2 linked regions of the Stegostoma tigrinum genome follow. Each later gene encodes a partner of the first gene's protein in a complex. Links are inferred from orthologs where the notes say so. Each region holds a gene or a part of one and is shown on either strand. Other genes may lie near its edges.

Region 1 (10,919 bases):
ATATCCTCACACCCTGCTTCCTGTAAAGACCCTATTCCAATCTGCCAGTTTATTTACTTCTGTCACATCTGTTCCAATGATTCTGTCTACCTGCCTCAGAAATATCCACCGATTCCCCGCCACTGATAAAACCCAAACTGAGCAGGCTTTGCTGAACACCTACATTCTATCCACCAAAAATCACCCTGAGCTTGCAACTCCTTGCCACTTCAACACACGACTGTGTTCCACTGCCAGAATTTCTGTTTCAGGCCTGCTGCAGAGTTTCAGCGTGGCTCAATGCGAGTTGGAAGAACAACACCTCGTTTTCCACTTGGAGACCCTGCAGTCTTCAGGTCTCAATTATTTTAGAGCCTGCTAACCTCTTTCCATTAACTTTATCCACCCCCACATCCCAGGCCTGGTCATCACGCAGGTTGCTCTCAGCACAGCCAATTCATTTTCACCTACACTTATGGTCCCCGTTATCAGCTTTTCTTTTTCCCTAGCATGTTATCACCCATCTCTTTGTCTGCCTGTCATTCTCTGTCTTTGAGTTCCATCTCCATCTATCTGCTCACTTCTTTTCTCCACTCACTGTCTTCAGCACACGTACCACTATTTCCTAGCTATTATCGGTTCTGAAGAAGGTTTGCTAGACTTGAAAAGTTAACTATGCTTTCTCTCCAATTATGCTGCCAGTCCTGATGAGTTTCTCTAGCAATTCGTATTTTTGGAACATAACATTCAAGTTAAGGTTTGCATTGCAGATCATTGACCTGTTCCAGTTATAATGAAAGGTTGTCAGCGTCAAACTCAGCTCAGCTTCTTCCAGATACTACCTGACCAGCTGAGGCTTTTTGCGCTCTATTTAATTCTCAGATAGTCAGCACCTGCTGCCTTTTGCTTCAGTTCCCACTATAAACAACTTATCACATGGTGGAAAGCTATATGGCAAACGAGAGGAGTAAAACAGTGGGGATGAAAAGATAAGCTAAATGTCAAAGTGTTTCACAATAATGCTGTTCATCCAAGAGCCCTCACTCGTTTCTTACATAATGTTACTGTCAACTTAGCTGACTAATGAAACCAACTTTGCATTACCTGTTTTGGCTGGAAGTAGTGGAACTGCAATGGGTTCCAATGGCTCCCAACTCTCTCGCTTCAGACTTTTCAGGGCTGACCATTTTAATTCAGTTTCCTGCAATAACAGTTGTGTGAGTATATACAAAAAGAAACATTCAAATGCCATGATTCAAAGAAAATGAAACTTTAAAAAGATTTAACCAGTCACTTTGTCGTGAGGACTTGAATTTTGCTGAAAAACGGTGCATTGCTGACGATTTTCATCCTGCATTTGTCAGGACGAGTGCAAGAACACCAAATGATCACAATAATTTATACTACAAAAGAAAAAGAATACTCATTGATTGGAAAGGCAAATTGTATGACCAAATGATTTTTAAAAGAGTCTCTTTTCAGCATTATAGATCATAAGATAAAAGTGCAGAATTAGGCCATTTGGCCCATCAAGGCTGCTCCACCATCCAAACATGACTGATAGGTTTCTCAACCCCACTCTTCTGCCTTCTCCCTGTAACTCTTGATCCTGTCACAAATCAAGAACCTGTCTTCTGTTTTAAATATACTCAAATAGCTTGGCTTTCACAGGCTTCTGTAGCAATGAATTTCACAGATTCACCATCCTCTGGCTGAAGAAATTCCTCAATACAATTCTAAAGGGTCATCTCTTCACAGTGGGTAGGCGATGGCTTAGTGGTACTATTACTAGGCCATTAACCCTACTAGCAATTACAGACCTGTCAGTTTAACTTCAGTGATGAGTAACTTCTAAAGACAATTATTCAAGCTAGAATGAATAGTCACATGGAAAATGATAAGTTCATTGGGAAGTGTCAGTACAGATTTCTTGGGAAATAGTGTTTATCCAACTTACTGGACAATTTGAAGTGGTAACACAATGTTCAAAGAGGTAATGTCGTTGATATGGCGTACACAGACTTTCACAAGGTGCTTGATACAGAGCCACACCACAGATGTGAAGAGACTTACAGGACATGGAATAAAGGGGTGTGTAGCAAAGTGGATGCAAAATTGAATGGGTGAAAGGAAACCTGGAATAATGGTGAAATGATATTTTTTGGGCTGGAGAAAGACTTGTAGTGGAGATCCCCAGGGCTCGGTATTGAGGCCCCTGCTTTTCCTGATAATATATATTGGTGATGTAGTTTTTGGTGTGCCTGAAGCAATTTCAAAGCCATTAACCCAGACAGTCAGCTAATGTTCTGGAGACCTAGGTTCAAATCCCATTGATCACCATGAAATCATTGTCAATTGTCAGAAAAACCCTTCTGGTTCACTAATACCCTTTGGGGGAAAGAAATCCATCATCCTCACCTGGTCTGGCCTACATGTGACTCCAGCCCCACAGCAATGTGGTTGACTCTCAGTTGCCCTCTGCAATGGCAAGCAAGCCATTCAGTTGTACCAATCACTACAAAGTCTCAATGAAATGAAAATGTATGAAGCATCTGGTATTGACCCAGGCACCAGAAAAGACAGCGGCAGAGACCACCCTACCAAGCTCCTCCTCATCCTGACTAGGAAATATATTGCTGCTCCCTCACTGTTGGCTGAGTCAAAAATCCTGGAACTCCCCCCCAATAACGTTGTTGGTCAACCCACTGCATGTGGACTGCAGCAGTTCAAGAAAACAGATCATCACCACCACCTTCTCAAGAGCAACCAGGGACAGGCAATAAATGCTGGCCAGCCAGCAATGCCCACATCCCACAAATGAATAGGAAAAAAACTGTGACCATTCCCTAGTCAAAACTTGTTCTACACAGGTCTCTAGGCATTCTCTAGGTTTCAATGAGATCTCCTCCCATCTTTCTAACCTCCGTCGAGTACAGACCCAGAGTCCTTAACCCACCCTTCGTATGATATGGATGTGCCTGTGTTGGATTGGGGTGGGCAAAGTCAGAAGTCACACAACACCAGAACCATCGGATGAAGGGGCTACACTCCAAAAGCTTGTGGTTTTAAGTAAACCTGTTGGGCTATAACCTGGTATCATGTGGCTTCTGGCTCTTCATATGACAAGCCCTTCATTCCTGGGATATAAAAAGATTGAAAAAGAACTAACTCAAACTTCCCCCTTGAGCAGAAATATTATTGAGACAGCAAAGTTTCACCTGATTATCTCTACATTTCATCTGAAGTTCCTGTGTAGAATCTAATTTTATGAAATGCTTTTCAACTCAAAACAAATATCTGATAGATTTGTGATCAGAGAAAGTGGGAACTGCAGATGCTGGAGAATCCAAGGTAACAAATTGTGGAACTGGATGAACACAGCATGCCAAGCAGCATCTTAGGAGCACTGCTTGGCCTGCTGTGTTCATCCAGCCCCACACATTGTTACCTCTGATAGATTAGTATTACCTTCCCTGCAGCTATTCCTTCTCATAACTGGGGTGCCCTCTTGTAATTTTCACTTTCCACTGCTTGAAAATTTGACTCATCTTCCACCATCTATGAAAATAGGGGTCAGGATTTACCTTTCTGCACTCAAGCCTGTTCTACCACTCAACAAGATCACGGCTGAGATAACATAATAGTGTGGAGCTGGAGGAACACAGCAGGCCAGGCAGCATCAAAGGAGCAGGAGAGTCGACATTCCTCCAGCTCCACACTGCAATGACTTAGATGTACGAAACACGTAACCACGTTAAATGTGTCCAATTTTGGGCCCCACACCTCAGAAAGGACATACTAGCCCTGGAGCGTGTCCAGCAGAGATTCACATGGATGATGCCTGGAATGGTAGGTTTAGCATATGATGAACGACTAAGGATCCTGGGATGGTACTCATTAGAGTTTAGAAGGTTGAGGGGAAATCTAATAGAAACTTACAAGATAATGTATGGTTTAGAAGGGGTGGATGCTAAGAAGTTGTTTCCGTTAGGCAGGGAGACTAGGACCCATGGGCACAGCCTTAAAATTAGAGGGGGTAAATTTAAAACTGAAATGAGATGACATTTCTTCAGCCAGAGAATGGTGGGCTTGTGGAATTCATTGCCGCAGAGTGCAGTGGAGGCCGGGACGTTGGATGCCTTCGAGGCAGAGATCGACAAATTCTTGATCTCAAAAGGAATCAAGGGCTACGGGGGAAGAGTGCAGGGAAGTGGAGTTGAAATGCCCATCAGCCATGGTTTAAATGGCGGAGTGGAATTGTTGGGCCGAATGGCCTCACTTACACTCCTAGGTCTTATGGATGTTGTTTGGCCTGCTGTGTTCATCCAGCTCTACACCTCGTTATCTCAGATTCTCCAGCTGCTCTAACCTAGCAAGCAGTCTTCAGTATTAACGGCGAGGCGTCCCCAGCATGAGGGAGACCCAGTACAAGTATGTTTGATTGCTTTGTTGTTCCAGCGTGAGGTGGTGCAACGAGCCGTTACTGCCCCCATCTCTCCCCAAAGCTGCTCCCCAGGAGGGGAGGCGGCGTTTCCCGCTCCCGCAGTTCGACCCTCACCTGTTGGCCCCCGCCCTCCGCACAGAACGGCTGGACATGTTCATACTCTCCCCAGCCCCCTGGCTCCCAGGGGTTCCAAGCGGAGGGACCGGAGTTGTAGAAGCTGGGATAAAGGGAGTACGGGAATGCGCTCTCCATGCCGCCGTCGCTGAGCCCGTACGGCACCCGTACCGAAACCCGACTGCGCGTGCTGCCCGAAGCGAGGACCGACTTCCGGCGGATGCAACAATGAGGGGGCGGGCCCTTCACGGGCGAATTGTTCGACCCGCCGCGGAGCCCAGCAGCGCGCGACTTTGCTGTGGGTGCTCGCGGACGCCATGTTGGTGAGGGCGAGTGAAGTGGAGCTCCCTGCGTTACCCAGGGCAACGGAACGCCCTCCGGCAGAAGCCGCTCCGTGGGTGTGTGCTTGTTCCGAGAGCACCACAGGCTGTCTAGACTTGAACCGAACACAGCTGATGCATCCTTTAACCAGTAATGCAACTCCCCACCTCTATTGCTTCCGCCTCTGTCTCGACTAAAGCATCGATATACTGGAAAGTTAAGCTTCCAATCCTATCCCTCTTTCAACCATATCTCTGTGATTGCAACAAGATCGTAATTGTATACATTAATCCAGTTTATTTGCCTTGCCTGTTATACAACTTGCATCGAAGCAAATGCACTCCAAGCCTCCAGTTCCGCTGAGCTCCGCAACCTGTCCCTGACTGCTCTTACTCTGAGTTATTGTATCAGAGATAATGCGAACTGTTATCTTGGATTCTCAAGCATCTGCAAAGTGTGGAGTTGCTAAGATGCTGCTTGACCTGCTGTGTTCATCCAGCTCCACACTTTGTTATGTCTTCCTCTGCGTTATATTTGCTTTTGACTCAAGCCCTTCCCCAGCCTGTATATTTACTGACTTGCTACTCCAGATCATAGCCCCACCACACTAGTTTAAACCTCCCTGCCAAGATATTGTTGCCCCTCCAGTTTAGGTCCAATTTGTCCTGCCTGTTCAGGTCTCCCCTTACCTGGAAGGCATCCCAATGACCCACTTATCTGAAGCCCAAGCCCCCTACACCAGTTCTTTAACGATAACAAAGTGTGGAGCTGGACGAACCCAACAGGCCAAGCAGCATCTTTAGCTACATATTGAATTGTAATGTCTCTGTTCCTAGCCTGAGAAGCACATCGCATGGGGAGTAATCCTGAAATTACTATTTTAAGAGATCCTACTTTTCAGTATACTACCTAGCTCCCTGAATTAACGAGGTGTGGAGCTGGATGAACGCAGCAGGCCAAGCAGCATCTTAAGAGCAGGAAATCTGACATTTCAGGTCCAATCGGCTTTCCTGCTCCTCTGAAGCTGCTTGAACTGCTGTGTTCATCCAGTCCTACACCTTGTTATCTCAGATTCTCCAGCATCGGCAGTTCTTACTATCTCTGATACAATCCTGGAGTCTCTCTTGCAGCCACAGAATCAACTGTGCACTATCAAATCTCTAATTACTATTGTTTTTCTCATTATCCAGAATTCAGTTCAGCACGAACATTTCTGAACTACTGCAAGGTCAGTCTCAAATAAAAGGAGTTTTGACGGGTATAAAATTCATAGCACAATGGTTCAGCAGTTAGCACTGCTGTCACATGGCACCACAGATCTGGGTTCAGTTCCAGCTTTGGGCAACGGTTTGTGTGGAATTTGAAAATTCTCCCCCCTTGGCATAGATTTCCTCCCATAATCCAAAAATGTGCAGGTTAGATGGATTGGCCATGCTAAATTGTCCAAAGCATGCAGGGGTGTGCAGGCTTGGTGGGTTATCCTTAGGAAACAAAAACAGAAGTTGCTGGAAAATCTCAACAGCATCTACATAGAACATTACAGCACAGTACAAGCCCTTCGGCCCTCGATGTTGTGCCGACCTGTCATACCGATCTCAAGCCCATCTAACCTACACTATTCCATGTACGTCCATATGCTTATCCAATGACATCTTAAATGTACTTAAAGTTGGCAAATCTACTACCGTTGCAGGCAAAGCGTTCCATTCCCTTACTACTCTCTGAGTGAAGAAACTACCTCTGACATCTGTCCTATATCTTTCACCCCTCAATTTAAAGCTATGCCCCCTCATGCTCGCCGTCACCATCCTAGGAAAAAGGCTCCCGCGCTCTGCAGCTTCCTCCCTGCCTGACAGGTACATACTTATTGTCTACAGGAATAGTGCCAGATGACTGGAGTATAGCAAATGTGGTTCCCCTGTTCAAGAAGGGGAGTAGAGACAACCCTGGTAATTATAGACCAGTGAGCCTGACCTCAGTTGTTGGTAAAGTGTTGGAAAAGGTTGTAAGGGATAGGATTTATAATCATCTAGAAAAGAATAAATTGATTAGGGATAGTCAGCACAGTTTTGTGAAGGGTAGGTCGTGCCTCACAAACCTTATTGAGTTCTTTGAGAAGGTGACTAAACAGGTAGATGAGAGTAAACCGGTTGATGTGTTGTATATGGATTTCAGCAAGGCGTTCGATAAGGTTCCCCACAGTAGGCTATTGTACAAATTGCAGAGGAATGGGATTGTGGGAGATATAGCAGTTTGGATCAGAAATTGGCTTGCTGAAAGAAGACAGAGGGTGGTAGTTGATGGGGAAGCGTTCATCCTAGAGACCAGTTACTCGTGGTGTACCGCAAGGGTCAGTGTTGGGTCCACTGCTGTTTGTCATTTTTATAAATGGCCTGGATGAGGGCGTAGAAGGATGGGTTAGTAAATTTGCAGACGACACTAAGGTCGGTGGAGTTGTGGATAGTGACAAAGGATGCTGTAGGTTGCAGAGAGACATAGATAAGCTGCAGAGCTGGGCTGAGAGGTGGCAAATGGAGTTTAATGCAGACAAGTGTGAGGTGATGCACTTTGGTAGGAATAACCGGAAGGCAAAGTACAGGGCTAATGGTAAGATTCTTAGCAGTGTTGATGAGCAGAGAGATCTCGGTGTCCATGTACACAGATCTTGAAAGTTGCCACCCAGGTTGACAGCGCTGTTAAGAAGACATACAGTGTTTTAGCTTTTATTAATAGAGGGATCGAGTTCCGGAACCAAGAGGTTATGCTGCAGCTGTACAAAACTCTGGTGCGGCCGCACTTGGAGTATTGCGTACAGTTCTGGTCACCGCATTATAAGAAGGATGTGGAAGCTTTGGAAAGGGTGCATAGGAGATTTACTAGGATGTTGCCTGGTATGGAGGGAAGGTATTATGAGGAAAGGCTGAGGGACTTGAGGCTGTTTTCATGAGAGAGAAGTAGGTTGATAGGTGACTTATTTGAAACATATCAAATAATCAGAGGGTTAGATAGGGTGGATAGGGAGAGCCTTTTTCCTAGGATGGTGATGGCGAGCACGAGAGGGCATAGCTTTAAATTGAGGGGTGAAAGATATAGGACAGATGTCAGAGGTAGCTTCTTCACTCAGAGAGTAGTAAGGGAATGGAATGCTTTGCCTGCAACGGCTGTAGATTTGCTAACTTTAGGTACATTTAAGTCGTCATTGGATGAGCATATGCACGTACATGGAATAGTGTAGGTTAGATGGGCTTCAGATCGATAAGACAGGTCGGCACAACATCAAGGGCCGAAGGGCCTGTACTGTGCTGTGATGTTCTATGTTCTATATGTTCTTATCTAGGACACACAGGAGCTTTTCCTTGAATAAGCTCCACATTTCTAATGTGCCCATCCCCTGCCTTTCCCGCAGCTATAACTCTTGCCCAGTGGTATACACCCATCCCTTTCCATCACTAAAGTAAACATAACAGAATTGTGATCGCTATCACCAAAGTGCTCACCTACTTCCAAATCACTGAGGGAATGTTAATCTGGTCTCTACTCCAGGTTGACAGGGCTGTTAAGAAGGCATACAGTGTTTTAGCTTTTATTAATAGAGGGATCGCATTCCGGAACCAAGCGGTTATGCTGCAGCTGTACAAAACTCTGGTGCGGCCGCACTTGGAGTATTGCGTACAGTTCTGTAGAAGATATAAGAAGGATGTGGAAGCTTTGGAAAGGATGCAGAGGAGGTTTACTAGGATGTTGCCTGGTATGGAGGGAAAGTCTTACGAGAGAGCCAGACAGAGAGAGCACCAGGAGGCTGCCGGGAAGGTAAGGTTTTTTTCCCCACTTTAAAAAGCTTACCTCGAGCGGGAGTGGTCTTCATTTATTTGGGCAGCGGATTGAGAGATGGTTCAGGAGGGAGGGGTTCAGATTTTTGGGACATTGGAACTGGTTCTGGGGAAGGTGGGACTATTACAAATTGGACGGTCTACACCTGAACCGGACTGGAACCAATGTCCTTGGGGGTGCTTTTGCTAATGCTGTGGGGGAGGGTTTAAACTAATGTGGCAGGGGGGGTGGGAACCAAATATTGGACAGAAAAGAGGTAGTAATGAAAGCCTATAGGAAACTAGATAATGGAGTCAGTGTGACTAAAGAGAATAGTAGTCAGGGAGTGGATGATGAACACAAAAGGACAGGTGGTCTGAGGTGCATTTGTTTTAATGCGAGAAGTGTAGTAGATAAGGCAGATGAGCTTAGGGCTTGGATCGGTATCTGGAAGTATGATGTTATTGCTATTACTGAGACTTGGTTGAGGGAAGGGCATGACTGGCAGCTTGTTGTCCCAGGATATCGATGCTTCAGGCGGGATAGAGAGGGAGGTAAAAGGGGTGGAGGAGTTGCATTACTGGTCACAGACGATATCACAGCTGCACTGAAGGAGGGCCCCATGGAGGACTCAAGCAGTGAGGCAATATGGGTAGAACTCAGAAATAGGAAGGATGCAGTAACTATGTTGGGGCTGTACTACAGGCCTCCCAACAGCGAGTGTGAGATAGAGGTACAAATATGTGAACAGATAATGGAAAGGTGTAGGAGAAACAGGGTGGTGGTGATGGGAGATTTTAATTTTCCCAACATTGACTGGGATTCACTCAGTGTTAGGGGTCAAGACAGAGCAGAATTTGTAAGGTGTGTCCAGGATGGTTTTCTAGAGCAGTATGTATGTAGTCCAACTCGGGAAGGGGCCATACTGGACCTGGTGCTGTGGAATGAACCTGGCCAGGTAGTTGATATTACAGTAGGGGACTACTTTGGAAATAGCGACCACAATTCCGTAAGTTTTACAATATTCATGGACAAGGATAGGAGTGGTCTTAAAGGAAGAGTACTAAACTGGGGGAAGGCCGACTATACCAAGATTCGGCAGGATCTGAGGAATGTAGATTGGGAGAAACTGTTTGAAGGTAAATCCACATTTGATATATGGGAGGCTTTTAAGGAGAGGTTGATTAGCTTGCAGGAGAGACATGTTCCTGTGAAAATGAGGAATAGAAATGGCAAGATTAAGGAACCATGGATGACAGGTGAAATTGTGAGACTAGCCAAGAGAAAAAAGGAAGCATACATGAGGTCTAGGCGACTGAAGACAGACAAAGCTTTGCAAGAATATCGGAATGTAGAGCGAATCTGAAAAAAGGGATTAAGAGGGCTAAGAGAGGACATGAGATATTGCTGGGAAAATCCCAAAGCCTTTTATTCATATATAAAGAGCAAGAGGGTAAGTAGAGAAAGGATTGGCCCACTTAAGGACAAAGAAGGAAAGTTATGCGCTGAGTCAGAGAAAATGGGTGACAATCTTAATGAGTACTTTGCATCGGTATTCACCAAGGAGAGGGACATGACGGATGTTGAGATTAGGGATAGATGTTTGCTTAGTGTAGGTCAAGTTGACATCAGGAAGGAGGAAGTGTTGGGTATCCTAAAAGACATTAAGGTGGGCAAGTCCCCAGGTCCGGATGGGATCTATCCCAGGTTACTGAGGGAAGCAAGAGGAAATAGCCGGGGCCCTAACAGATATCTTTGCAGTGTCCTTAGACACGGCTGAGGTCCCAGAGGACTGGAGACTTGCTAATGTTGTCCCCTTGTTTAAAAAGGGCGGCAAGGATAATCCGGGTAATTATCGAACGGTGAGCCTGACGTCAGTGGTAGGGAAGCTATTGGAGAAGATACTAAGGGATAGGATCTATTCCCATTTGGAAGAAAATGGGCTTATCAGTGATAGGCAACATGGTTTTGTACAGGGAAGGTCATGTCTTACCAACTTAATAGAATTCTTTGAGGACGTGACAAAGTTGATTGATGAGGGAAAGGCTGTATACATGGACTTCAGTAAGGCATTTGATAAGGTTCCCATGTCAGGCTGATGGAGAAAGTGAAGTCACATGGGGTCCAGGGTGTGTTAGCTAGATGGATAAAAAACTGGCTGGGCAACAGGACACAGAAGGGAGTTTCTCAAATTGGAGACCTGTAACCAGTGGTGTTCCACAGGGATCTGTGCTAGGACCACTGTTGTTTG
Region 2 (11,114 bases), on another chromosome or scaffold:
TAACCCAACGCTGCCCCTGTTCTGGGAGTGTTTGCGGGGGACAGCGTTGAGATAGCTTTACTTTCTGTCTGCGACAGCAGTGAGGTCTAGTTTCAGTTTAAAAGAGTAGACAGCCTTATTTTGGTCTAACCCATCCTGTATTTGCAGTGGGGGGGGGGGGGGCCTTTAGAACTGCAGTGCATGTCAGAGCACAATTCAACCTCTTTTTCATGTATTATCTTGAGAGTGACACTCTGCCTGAGCGAGGCAGTGTTGTAGTGGTGTTGAGGCCAGACGAGTAGCCCAGTACCCTGGGCTAATAATCTGGGGACTTCCTTACAAATTGCACCATGATACCAGGTAACACTTGATCTGGAACAAAAATGGCAACCATGTCAGCAAATCACTGTCAACTGTCTCAAAAACCCATCTGGTTAACTAATGCCCTTTAGTGAAGAAAATCTGCCGTCTTCACCAGGTCTGGCCTACTCTAGACTCAAAGTGATGGCGCTGACTCTTGACTGCCTTTTGGACAACAGATATCACCCTGGCCAGTGATGCTCACATGCAATGGACAATGTTTTAAAAAATTCAGGCTTTCTCCTCAGCCCTACGGATGTGATGGTGGTGGTGGTGGTCGGGGAGGGAACATGTTTTCTCTGACTGGTACCGAGCCTCATGAGTGACTTGCCTTGGATGCACTGGAAATTTCAAGGGCATTTCTGCCTAGACAACCAGCAAACTCCTCCACCCCCAACCCAAGTATGTGTTGAATGTTAGCAGAGGTCGAGTTTGATTGCAACGTCAGCTCCTGAACTGTTTACCCTCATGCACTCTGACACTCACTGTGCACGCTGATTTTAAAATCACACTTGCGACACACAACGTAGTCCTCAGGCCCAGGGAGCGGCAGGATCGTTCCACACTCGGGGCAGAAATCTGGGTCACACTGGAAACAAGAATCGGCCATTGCGGGTCTGTGGGGATGAGAAGAATAAGAGCGAGACCTTATCAAAACACGTACAAGATTCACAAAGGGCACAGCGTTGTAGATGTGGAGAGATCGCTTCACTGTCAGGGGAAGTCCAGAATTAGATGGAATAATCTCAGAGTGTGGGCTCACTGAGAAATTTGTCCTCTCAGACAGCAGTGAATCTATTTATTGCAGATGGCTGTCAGATCTGAGCAACTGAGTATATTGAAGGCTGAAACAGACTGAGGGAGCGCCGCACTGCCGGAGGGTCAGGATTGAGGGAGTGCCGCACTGTCGGAGGGTCAGTACTGAGGGAGTGCCGCACTGTCGGAGGGTCAGTACTGAGGGAGTGCCGCACTGTCAGAGGGTCAGTACTGAGGGAGTGTCGCACTGTCAGAGGGTCAGTGCTGAGGGAGTGTCGCACTGGCAGAGGGCCAGAGCTCAGGGAGTGCCGCACTGTCGGAGGGTCAGTACTGAGGGAGTGCCGCTCTGTCAGAGGGTCAGTACTGAGGGAGTGTCGCACTGTCAGAGGGGCAGTACTGAGGGAGTGCCGCACTGTCGGAGGGTCAGTACTGAGGGAGTGTCGCACTGTCAGAGGGTCAGTACTGAGGGAGTGTCGCACTGTCAGAGGGCCAAAGCTGAGGGAGTGCCGCACTGTCGGAGGGTCAGTACTGAGGGAGTGCCGCACTGTCGGAGGGTCAGTACTGAGGGAGTGCCGCACTGTCGGAGGGTCAGTACTGAGGGAGTGCCGCACTGTCGGAGGGTCAGTACTGAGGGAGTGCCGCACTGTCGGAGGGTCAGTACTGAGGGAGTGCCGCACTGTCGGAGGGTCAGTACTGAGGGAGTGCCGCACTGTCGGAGGGTCAGTACTGAGGGAGTGCCGCACTGTCGGAGGGTCAGTACTGAGGGAGTGCCGCACTGTCGGAGGGTCAGTACTGAGGGAGTGCCGCACTTCGGAGGGTCAGTACTGAGGGAGTGCCGCACTGTCGGAGGGTCAGTACTGAGGGAGTGCCGCACTGTCAGAGGGTCAGTATAGAGGGAGTGCTGCACTGTCAGAGGGTCAGTACTGAAGGTGGACCGCGCTGCCAGAGGGTCAGTACTGAGGGAGTGCTGCACTGTCAGAGGGTCAGTACTGAGGGAGCGCCGCACTGTCAGAGGGTCAGTACTGAGGGAGTGTCGCACTGTCGGAGGGTCAGTACTGAGGGAGTGCCACACTGTCAGAGGGTCAGTACTGAGGGAGTGCTGCACTGTCAGAGGGTCTGTACTGAGGGAGTGCCGCACTGGCGGAGGGTCAGTACTGAGGGAGTGTCGCACTGTCAGAGGGTCAGTGCTGAGGGAGTGCTGCACTGTCAGAGGGTCAGTATTGAGGGAGTGCCGCACTGTCAGAGGGTCAGTACTGAGGGAGTGCCGCACTGTCAGAGGGTCAGTACTGAGGGAGTGCCGCACTGTCAGAGGATCAGTACTGAGGGAGTGCCGCACTGTCAGAGGGTCAGTATTGAGGGAGTGCCGCACTGTCAGAGGGTCAGTACTGAGGGAGTGCTGCACTGTCCGAGGGTCAGTACTGAGGGAGTGCTGCACTGTCAGAGGGACAGTACTGAGGGAGCGCCGCACTGTCCGAGGGTCAGTACTGAGGGAGTGCTGCACTGTCAGAGGGACAGTACTGAGGGAGTGTCGCACTGTCAGAGGGTCAGTGCTGAGGGAGTGCTGCACTGTCAGAGGGTCAGTATTGAGGGAGTGCCGCACTGTCAGAGGGTCAGTACTGAGGGAGTGCCGCACTGTCAGAGGGTCAGTACTGAGGGAGTGCCGCACTGTCAGAGGATCAGTACTGAGGGAGTGCCGCACTGTCAGAGGGTCAGTATTGAGGGAGTGCCGCACTGTCAGAGGGTCAGTACTGAGGGAGTGCTGCACTGTCCGAGGGTCAGTACTGAGGGAGTGCTGCACTGTCAGAAGGACAGTACTGAGGGAGTGCCGCACTGTCAGAGGGTCAGTACTGAGGGAGTGCCGCACTGTCAGAGGATCAGTACTGAGGGAGTGCCGCACTGTCAGAGGGTCAGTACTGAGGGAGTGCTGCACTGTCAGAGGGTCAGTACTGAGGGAGTGCTGCACTGTCAGAGGGTCAGTACTGAGGGAGTGCCGCACTGTCAGAGGGACAGTACTGAGGGAGTGCCGCACTGTCAGAGGGTCAGTACTGAGGGAGTGCCGCACTGTCAGAGGGTCAGTACTGAGGGAGTGTCACACTGTCAGAGGGTCAGTACTGAGGGAGTGCCGCACTGTCAGAGGGTCAGTACTGAGGGAGTGCCGCACTGTCAGAGGGTCAGTACTGAGGGAGTGCCGCACTGTCAGAGGGTCAGTACTGAGGGAGTGCCGCACTGTCAGAGGGTCAGTACTGAGGGAGTGCTGCACTGTCAGAGGGTCAGTACTGAGGGAGTGCCGCACTGTCAGAGGGTCAGTACTGAGGGAGTGCCGCACTGTCAGAGGGTCAGTACTGAGGGAGTGCCGCACTGTCAGAGGGTCAGTACTGAGGGAGTGCCGCACTGTCAGAGGGTCAGTACTGAGGGAGTGCCGCACTGTCAGAGGGTCAGTACTGAGGGAGTGCCGCACTGTCAGAGGGTCAGTACTGAGGGAGTGCCGCACTGTCAGAGGGTCAGTACTGAGGGAGTGCTGCACTGTCAGAGGGTCAGTACTGAGGGAGTGCCGCACTGTCAGAGGGTCAGTACTGAGGGAGTGCCACACTGTCAGAGGGTCAGTACTGAGGGAGTGCCGCACTGTCAGAGGGTCAGTACTGAGGGAGTGCTGCACTGTCAGAGGGTCAGTACTGAGGGAGTGCCGCACTGTCAGAGGGTCAGTACTGAGGGAGTGCCGCACTGTCAGAGGGTCAGTACTGAGGGAGTGCCGCACTGTCAGAGGGTCAGTACTGAGGGAGTGCCGCACTGTCAGAGGGTCAGTACTGAGGGAGTGCCGCACTGTCAGAGGGTCAGTACTGAGGGAGTGCTGCACTGTCAGAGGGTCAGTACTGAGGGAGTGCCGCACTGTCAGAGGGTCAGTACTGAGGGAGTGCTGCACTGTCCGAGGGTCAGTATTTAAATGGGATGTTAATCTTTTTGGGTGGATACAGAGGAGGTTTTTATGAAGATCACGGGGAGGGGAGTGGGGAGCACCCCGCACCCCCCGGATTTCCTGACCGACAATAATCTCCCTTCACAAAGACAAACAGTTTGCACAGAGATAGAAAGGACAGCAGCAGCAGGAGGCCATTCAGCCCATCGAGCGTGCTGCGCCATTCTTCCCGATGAGGACTGATTATCCGACACAACGGCATCAATCCTGGTTTCTCGCCCTAACTTTTACTGTTGGTTAGATCCCACTTATCCCCATTCGTCTGCGATCCTTCCAGAATCCAGAAAGTGCTTCCAAATGCTCTTAATTGCGAAAGGCGCTACACAAATGCAACCTTTTTTTCCTGTCTCCGACGACATCCATCCCATTTAAGACAAAATCGCACCGTTCGTCTCCGACCGCTACTGCCTGGCCCTGAAACTGTAAACGTGCCTCGACGTCCAGAATCACCTGCGGCCTAGCGCTCAGGCTCCCGGCTTGGAAACAGGAAACATCGCCCTCCGGCCGCATACGCGTAGGGGGGGGAGGCTACCGCCACCAGCAGCGCCTCCCGGCGGTGGGGAGGTACCGCCAACCCGGTCACGGCGACGATGAGGGGATGGCGCCTCCAGGGGCACCGCCTCCCGGTGGTGGGGATGTACCGCCAACCCGGTCACGGCGACGATGAGGGGATTGGACCTCCTGGGGCACCGCCTCCCTGCGGAGCCGGGGAACAGCCAGGCCGTTTATGGCGGCGGCGGGGGTTGGATCCTCCACGTTCAGCGCCTCCCGGCGGTGAGGAGGAAACCGCCAGCCCGGTTATGGCGGAGGTGGGTGTTTGAACCTCCAGGGGCAGCGCCTCCCCGTGTTGAGGAGGAAACCTCCAGCCCGGTTATGGCGGCGGCGTGAGTTGGAACCTCCCGGGACAGTGCCTCCCGGCGGTGGAGAGGAACCCTCCAGCCCGGTTGCTTGCTCGGGTCGGACCAGCCATCCTCCCACAACACAAACAGAAGGGAGGAACCTCCGCCGACAGCGCCGCCTGACGAAGTGGAGGGACATCTTCGCTCGATGGCGACGGCGCCGCCCCGTGGAGGGGAGGAACCTCTTCATCATGCACTGACTTGGTGTTTCGGGGGAGGGGGGCGGGGTTCAGGCAGCTCAGTTGGATCGCACTTGGCTCAGAATAACTGACCCTCACCATGGGTTCGATTCCCGCTTCAGCAGCATCCTTCAGCTGTACCTCCCGCCTTGCTTCTCCTGTATTCGATACAGAGAGGAGAAGGTTTCCCACTCACATTAGTGGGATATCGTGACAGGATCCTGCCAGAGGGACCCAGTGATAGGGTCCATCGGTGAGACACTGAATATAGACTGTCACAGGGACCCAGTGATAGGGTCCATCGGTGAGATACTGAATATCGACTGTCACAGGGACCCAGTGATAGGGTCCATCGGTGAGACACTGAATATAGACTGTCGCAGGGACCCAGTGATAGGGCCCATCGGTGAGACACTGAATATCGACTGTCACAGGGACCCAGTGATAGGGTCCATCGGTGAGATACTGAATATCGACTGTCACAGGGACCCAGTGATAGGGTCCATCGGTGAGATACTGAATATAGACTGTCGCAGGGACCCAGTGATAGGGTCCATCGGTGAGACACTGAATATAGACTGTCGCAGGGACCCAGTGATAGGGTCCATCGGTGAGACACTGAATATAGACTGTCACAGGGACCCAGTGATAGGGTCCATCGGTGAGATACTGAATATCGACTGTCACAGGGACCCAGTGATAGGGTCCATCGGTGAGATACTGAATATCGACTGTCACAGGGACCCAGTGATAGGGTCCATCGGTGAGATACTGAATATAGACTGTCGCAGGGACCCAGTGATAGGGTCCATCGGTGAGACACTGAATATAGACTGTCGCAGGGACCCAGTGATAGGGTCCATCGGTGAGACACTGAATATAGACTGTCACAGGGACCCAGTGATAGGGTCCATCGGTGAGACACTGAATATAGACTGTCGCAGGGACCCAGTGATAGGGTCCATCGGTGAGATACTGAATATAGACTGTCGCAGGGACCCAGTGATAGGGTCCATCGGTGAGATACTGAATATAGACTGTCGCAGGGACCCAGTGATAGGGTCCATCGGTGAGACACTGAATATAGACTGTCACAGGGACCCAGTGATAGGGTCCATCGGTGAGACACTGAATATCGACTGTCACAGGGACCCAGTGATAGGGTCCATCGGTGAGATACTGAATATAGACTGTCGCAGGGACCCAGTGATAGGGTCCATCGGTGAGACACTGAATATAGACTGTCACAGGGACCCAGTGATAGGGTCCATCGGTGAGACACTGAATATCGACTGTCACAGGGACCCAGTGATAGGGTCCATCGGTGAGACACTGAATATAGACTGTCGCAGGGACCCAGTGATAGGGTCTATCGGTGAGATACTGAATATAGACTGTCGCAGGGACCCAGTGATAGGGTCCATCGGTGAGACACTGAATATAGACTGTCACAGGGACCCAGTGATAGGGTCCATCGGTGAGATACTGAATATAGACTGTCGCAGGGACCCAGTGATAGGGTCCATCGGTGAGACACTGAATATAGACTGTCGCAGGGACCCAGTGATAGGGTCCATCGGTGAGACACTGAATATAGACTGTCGCAGGGACCCAGTGATAAGGTCCATCGGTGAGATACTGAATATAGACTGTCGCAGGGACCCAGTGATAGGGTCCATCGGTGAGATACTGAATATAGACTGTCGCAGGGACCCAGTGATAGGGTCCATCAGTGAGATTCCCCGAGTACAGTCGGCTGTGAGGGCCCTGTGACGAGGTCTACCTGTGAGACTCTGAATATAGATGGCTGTGACAAAGATCCCCAGTCCTGTCACAAAGATACTCTGACAAGAGGATGCCGTGGAAATTAAGGGACTGGAGCACTTGGCACCGCTATTTTACAGATTACAAATGCTGACAAACAAAAAAGCAAGAGCTCTGACAGAAAGACAAACTGTATTTCTTCTTGTATAAAAAAGTGCCAAAACTTTACTTGAAACAAGCGGCAGGTCCGGACTGCCGCAGACAGCTTGTGCTGTACAGACCTCATGCGTGCAATTCTGACAATGAGCCACTGCTCCTGAGTGTCCAGGCTCCTGCTACAGACAACACAAGTGGCTTCAGCGTCGAAATCATGAGTGTTGTCCTTCTTGGTTATTGATCCCGGTGCCTCAGATCCACCGTGGTCACGGCACTGCAATGGCAAAGGCAATCATGAACTGAGAGGCACCGCTCTCACCCAAACCTATCTCGCTGCTGGCCAAAACGCAGAGTAACATTCCTCCCGGGAACGGAACGGGGAGGGGGTGGGTAGTGGTTCCAATTCAATCTGAATTTGGCATCGAGGTGCCTGCACGATGCGAGGGGATTCAAGGCCTTCCCTCAGGCAGCACTTGCTCCATTTAATCCGACACAATCGCAGTGAATGCTGGTGATGGGCTGTCACCCTGCTGTGGAGAGTGGGTGCACAGCCAGCATGGCTCATGCCCCTGGCATGGCAGGTCTGATACGCACCCAGGACCCTCAGCCGAGCTCCTCCCGGGTCTTGCCCACTTTCTTGGGCATCTTCTTGCTGGCCGCATCCTGCAGCTCCTTCGATTTGTAATAATGCGGGGCCACCTCCAACAGCCAGTTGCTGTCGATCTCAATCACCTGAGAGACAGACAGACAGAGAGATTGAGGGGTGCTGCATGGAGTCTTAAGGTCACCACGGCTCAGCTGATGGATGGGACACTCTGGAAGCCATCATGTGGATGGCTAAAGACAGAGGAGTAGAGCTGACAGTCCGAACAGAAAAAGCAGCACAGATCAGAATATAGGAAACACGGTTTGCAGATTACTCCAGAAGTGGTGGTTTTGGACTGTGAAAGTTATCCAAGATTACAGAGAGATCTTGATCAATTGGGCCAGTGGGCTGGGAAATGGCAGAAGGAGTTTAATTTGAACGAATGCGAGATATTGCATTTTAGTAAAATAAACAAGGGCAAGATTTAACCAGTTAATGGTAGGGCCTTGGATAGTGTTGTCGAGCAGAGACACCTTGGAGTTCAGGGGCATAATTTTCTGAAAGTTGCGTCACATGTGGACAGGGTGATTGATAAGGCATTCACAGCTTGCTTGCCTTCACTGTGCAGACCACTGAGTATAGGATTTGGGATAACATATTGATGTTGTACAGGATGTTGGTGAGGTCAGTTTTGGAACAACGTGTCCAGTTCTGGTCGCCCTGTTATAAGGAAGGATATTATTAAGCTGGAGAGGGTTCAGGAAATGTTTATAAGGATGTTACCGGAACTGGAAGGTTTAAGTTGTAAGGAGAGGGTGGATGGGCTGGGACTTCTATCATGAACATAGGAGGTTGAGGGGTGAGCTCAGAGAGGTTTACAAAATCATGAGTGACATAGATAAGGTGAAGAGCAAAGGTCTTTTCCCTAGGGTGGGATATTTTTCAATACTAGGGGGCATATTTTTAAGGTGAGAGGAGAAAATTTTAAAAGGGACATGTGGGATAATCTTTTCACACAGAGGGTGGTTCCAGGAAGTGGTAGAAGCAGGTACAGTTACAGCATTTAAAAGATGCTGGACAGATACATGATTAGTTAAAGGTTTAAGAGCAATATGGGCCAAACGCAGGCAACAGGTACTGGTTTAGTTTGGGGAAACTTATCGGTAAGAACTGGTTGGACTGAAGGGTCTGTTTTGGTGCTGTCTGACTGAGTGTTGGTGCAGTGCCAGGCTCTATCATTAGGTGGCGCATTGTCCACAGTTGACAAGCACTCGGTATTGGTGAGAGAGTCAGGAAAGTCACAGGCTCATGCCCCACTCTATGGACTCGGTCATACAATCCTGGTTGACAATCTCTTCCAAGAGTAATGGTTGCCGCTGTAGGTCCCCCCTTTTACTGGGAGTTGCCTCCAGGGAATGTGTCTCACTGAAGTGTACGAGCGTGATTCTCCCACATGGGGAAACCCAAAACAAGGGGACGCAGTCTCGATACATGGGGCCAATCGTCTTTTTTTTAAGGACAGAGGCGACAAGAAGTGACTTCATTCAAAGGACTGTGAATATTTGGAATTCGCTATCCCACAGGGCAATGGACACTTCATCACTGAATCCATTTGAGGCTGGAATCATGGGAATTTTTGATCGATCAGGGAGTTAAAGGATATGGGAGGCATCGACGCTCCCACTGAACGATAATGCAGGTCAAAGGTGGCCCACAGTCACTCCTATTTCTTTAGAGCTCTGGTATAAAAAGTTCCACGTGGCCACAAACCTGAAGAAGGGGAGTTTTCCTGCATCATAGAATTCCTACAGTGTGGATGCAGGCCACTCGGCCCACCAAGTCCACATTGACCCTCTGAACAGCATCACACTCGGACCCAAATCACCTGTATTTCCCATGGTTAATCCAACTAGCCTGCACATCCCTGAACACTATGGGCAATTTAGCATAGCTCAGCCCACCCTATCGTGCACATCTCTGGACTGTGGGAGGAAACCCACGTAGAAACGGGGACAACATGCAAACTCCACACAGGCAGTTGCCTGAGCGTGGAATCGAACCCAGGTCCCTGGCACTGTGAGGCAGCAGTCCTAACCACTGAGCCGCCATGACTGCCCTTCAGTCACATCTTCTTGAATAAAAAAATCACAAACCGTCTACACAGCTGCTTGGGCTCAATGGCCTCGTTTCATGTCGGAGGAGCCTAACAGACAGGGGTAAGATAAGGCCATTCAGCGCCTCGAGTCTGTTCCATCTGAAAGTCGCCTCAATTCCTTTCCTGCCCTGTAACACTCGATTCCCATAAATCCGTCATCCTCAGCCTTGAACAGGTGCAAATCTGGGAAAGAATTCTACAACTCACCACCCCTCGCGGAGAAGAAATTCATCCTCGTCTCCATCTTAAATGACAGATGTCTGATTCTAAAACTGTGACCTGACAGAACTTAATCCTTCTGTGGAGGTGCTGTGGTTGCCCTTTGGTGGAGAAAGTCAGAAGTCACACAACGCCAGCTTTTGGTCCAACAGCTTTATTTGAAATCACAGACTTGTGGAGCGCCGCTCCTCCGTCATGTGGAATGAAACTCTGAAAGCCTGTGATTTCAAATAAACCTGTAGGACTATAACCTGGTGTCGTGTGACTCCTGACTGTATATTTTTCGTTTAAATTGAGGAGGACTTTAGTGTTAATTTTTATCCTTATTCCATGAAGGTAATACTTACTAATTCAGTTTCTCTTACTCCTTTGTACCTAAGTTGCTCTGTACTGAGGTACCCTCATATCTGAGATGATGTTGTGTGTGGAGACACTATACACTTTACATGGTGCTTGAGTAAACATGACAATAGAACCTAAATCTAAAATCTCCCTCCCATTGAGCAATAATATCCTTAATCACACTGTATCCTTAATGTGTGTCACAATGGTTATGCGGGCGTGGTGGACTCGGGAGGTGTTGGCTTTACGAGAACGCAGGCTGGGCCGGTGATGCCCGCTCACGCAGCTGTGTCCAGCACCAAGTGTCAGAGTCAAGCTGCAGGGGAGGAAGCAGGAAATGGTGGCGTAGCAGAGGAGAGGTGAGAAACAGACGGGCGCAGGGAAGGTGCTGTCAGTTGGGAGTGTACCTGTCTCATGAACTCCTTTGTGGTGAAGACGAGCTCGTGATAGATGAGCCAGCGGGGCTGCTCCTCGAACAGGCTGCTGTTGGGGTGGACGTAGACTGCCTGCTGGTGCTTCACTGTCTTGTAGCCGGTGCGTGTGAGCCGAGCGGTGTGGTAGAAAAAGCCGGCGGTAATAGTCTGGAGGCACCGAGTGGGAAAAGGAACCGGGCATGAGAGCCGTCTCCTGACCGTCTTTCAGAGATAACTTCCTCTCGGCTAGCTTCAGTTACTGCGCAGCCCAGTGCCCAGTTCCACAGTCGACTATCCTCTCTCAAAGCCCCCACTCCCACCGCCACCCCCCA

The links. The genes of interacting proteins can lie anywhere in the genome.
Region 2: taf1c (region 1) and polr1h share a complex: the UniProt entries of both Homo sapiens proteins name them as parts of the pol I pre-initiation complex. The link is inferred for Stegostoma tigrinum from reciprocal best matches to the Homo sapiens genes TAF1C and POLR1H.

The regions. Positions count from the first base shown.
Region 1 is NC_081354.1:138,935,296-138,946,214, forward strand, and holds the start of taf1c (TATA box-binding protein-associated factor, RNA polymerase I, subunit C), read right to left. Parts: upstream 4,809-10,919; 5' UTR 4,676-4,808; coding exon 4,538-4,675; intron 1,181-4,537; coding exon 1,084-1,180; intron 1-1,083. UniProt on the Homo sapiens protein: Component of the transcription factor SL1/TIF-IB complex, which is involved in the assembly of the PIC (pre-initiation complex) during RNA polymerase I-dependent transcription.
Region 2 is NC_081387.1:14,296,823-14,307,936, forward strand, and holds the start of polr1h (DNA-directed RNA polymerase I subunit RPA12), read right to left. Parts: upstream 4,515-11,114; 5' UTR 4,433-4,514; coding exon 4,404-4,432; intron 957-4,403; coding exon 826-956; intron 1-825. Other genes in the region: pre-mRNA-splicing factor ATP-dependent RNA helicase DHX16, read right to left, coding at 7,671-7,799, 10,777-10,950. UniProt on the Homo sapiens protein: Core component of RNA polymerase I (Pol I), a DNA-dependent RNA polymerase which synthesizes ribosomal RNA precursors using the four ribonucleoside triphosphates as substrates. Can mediate Pol I proofreading of the nascent RNA transcript.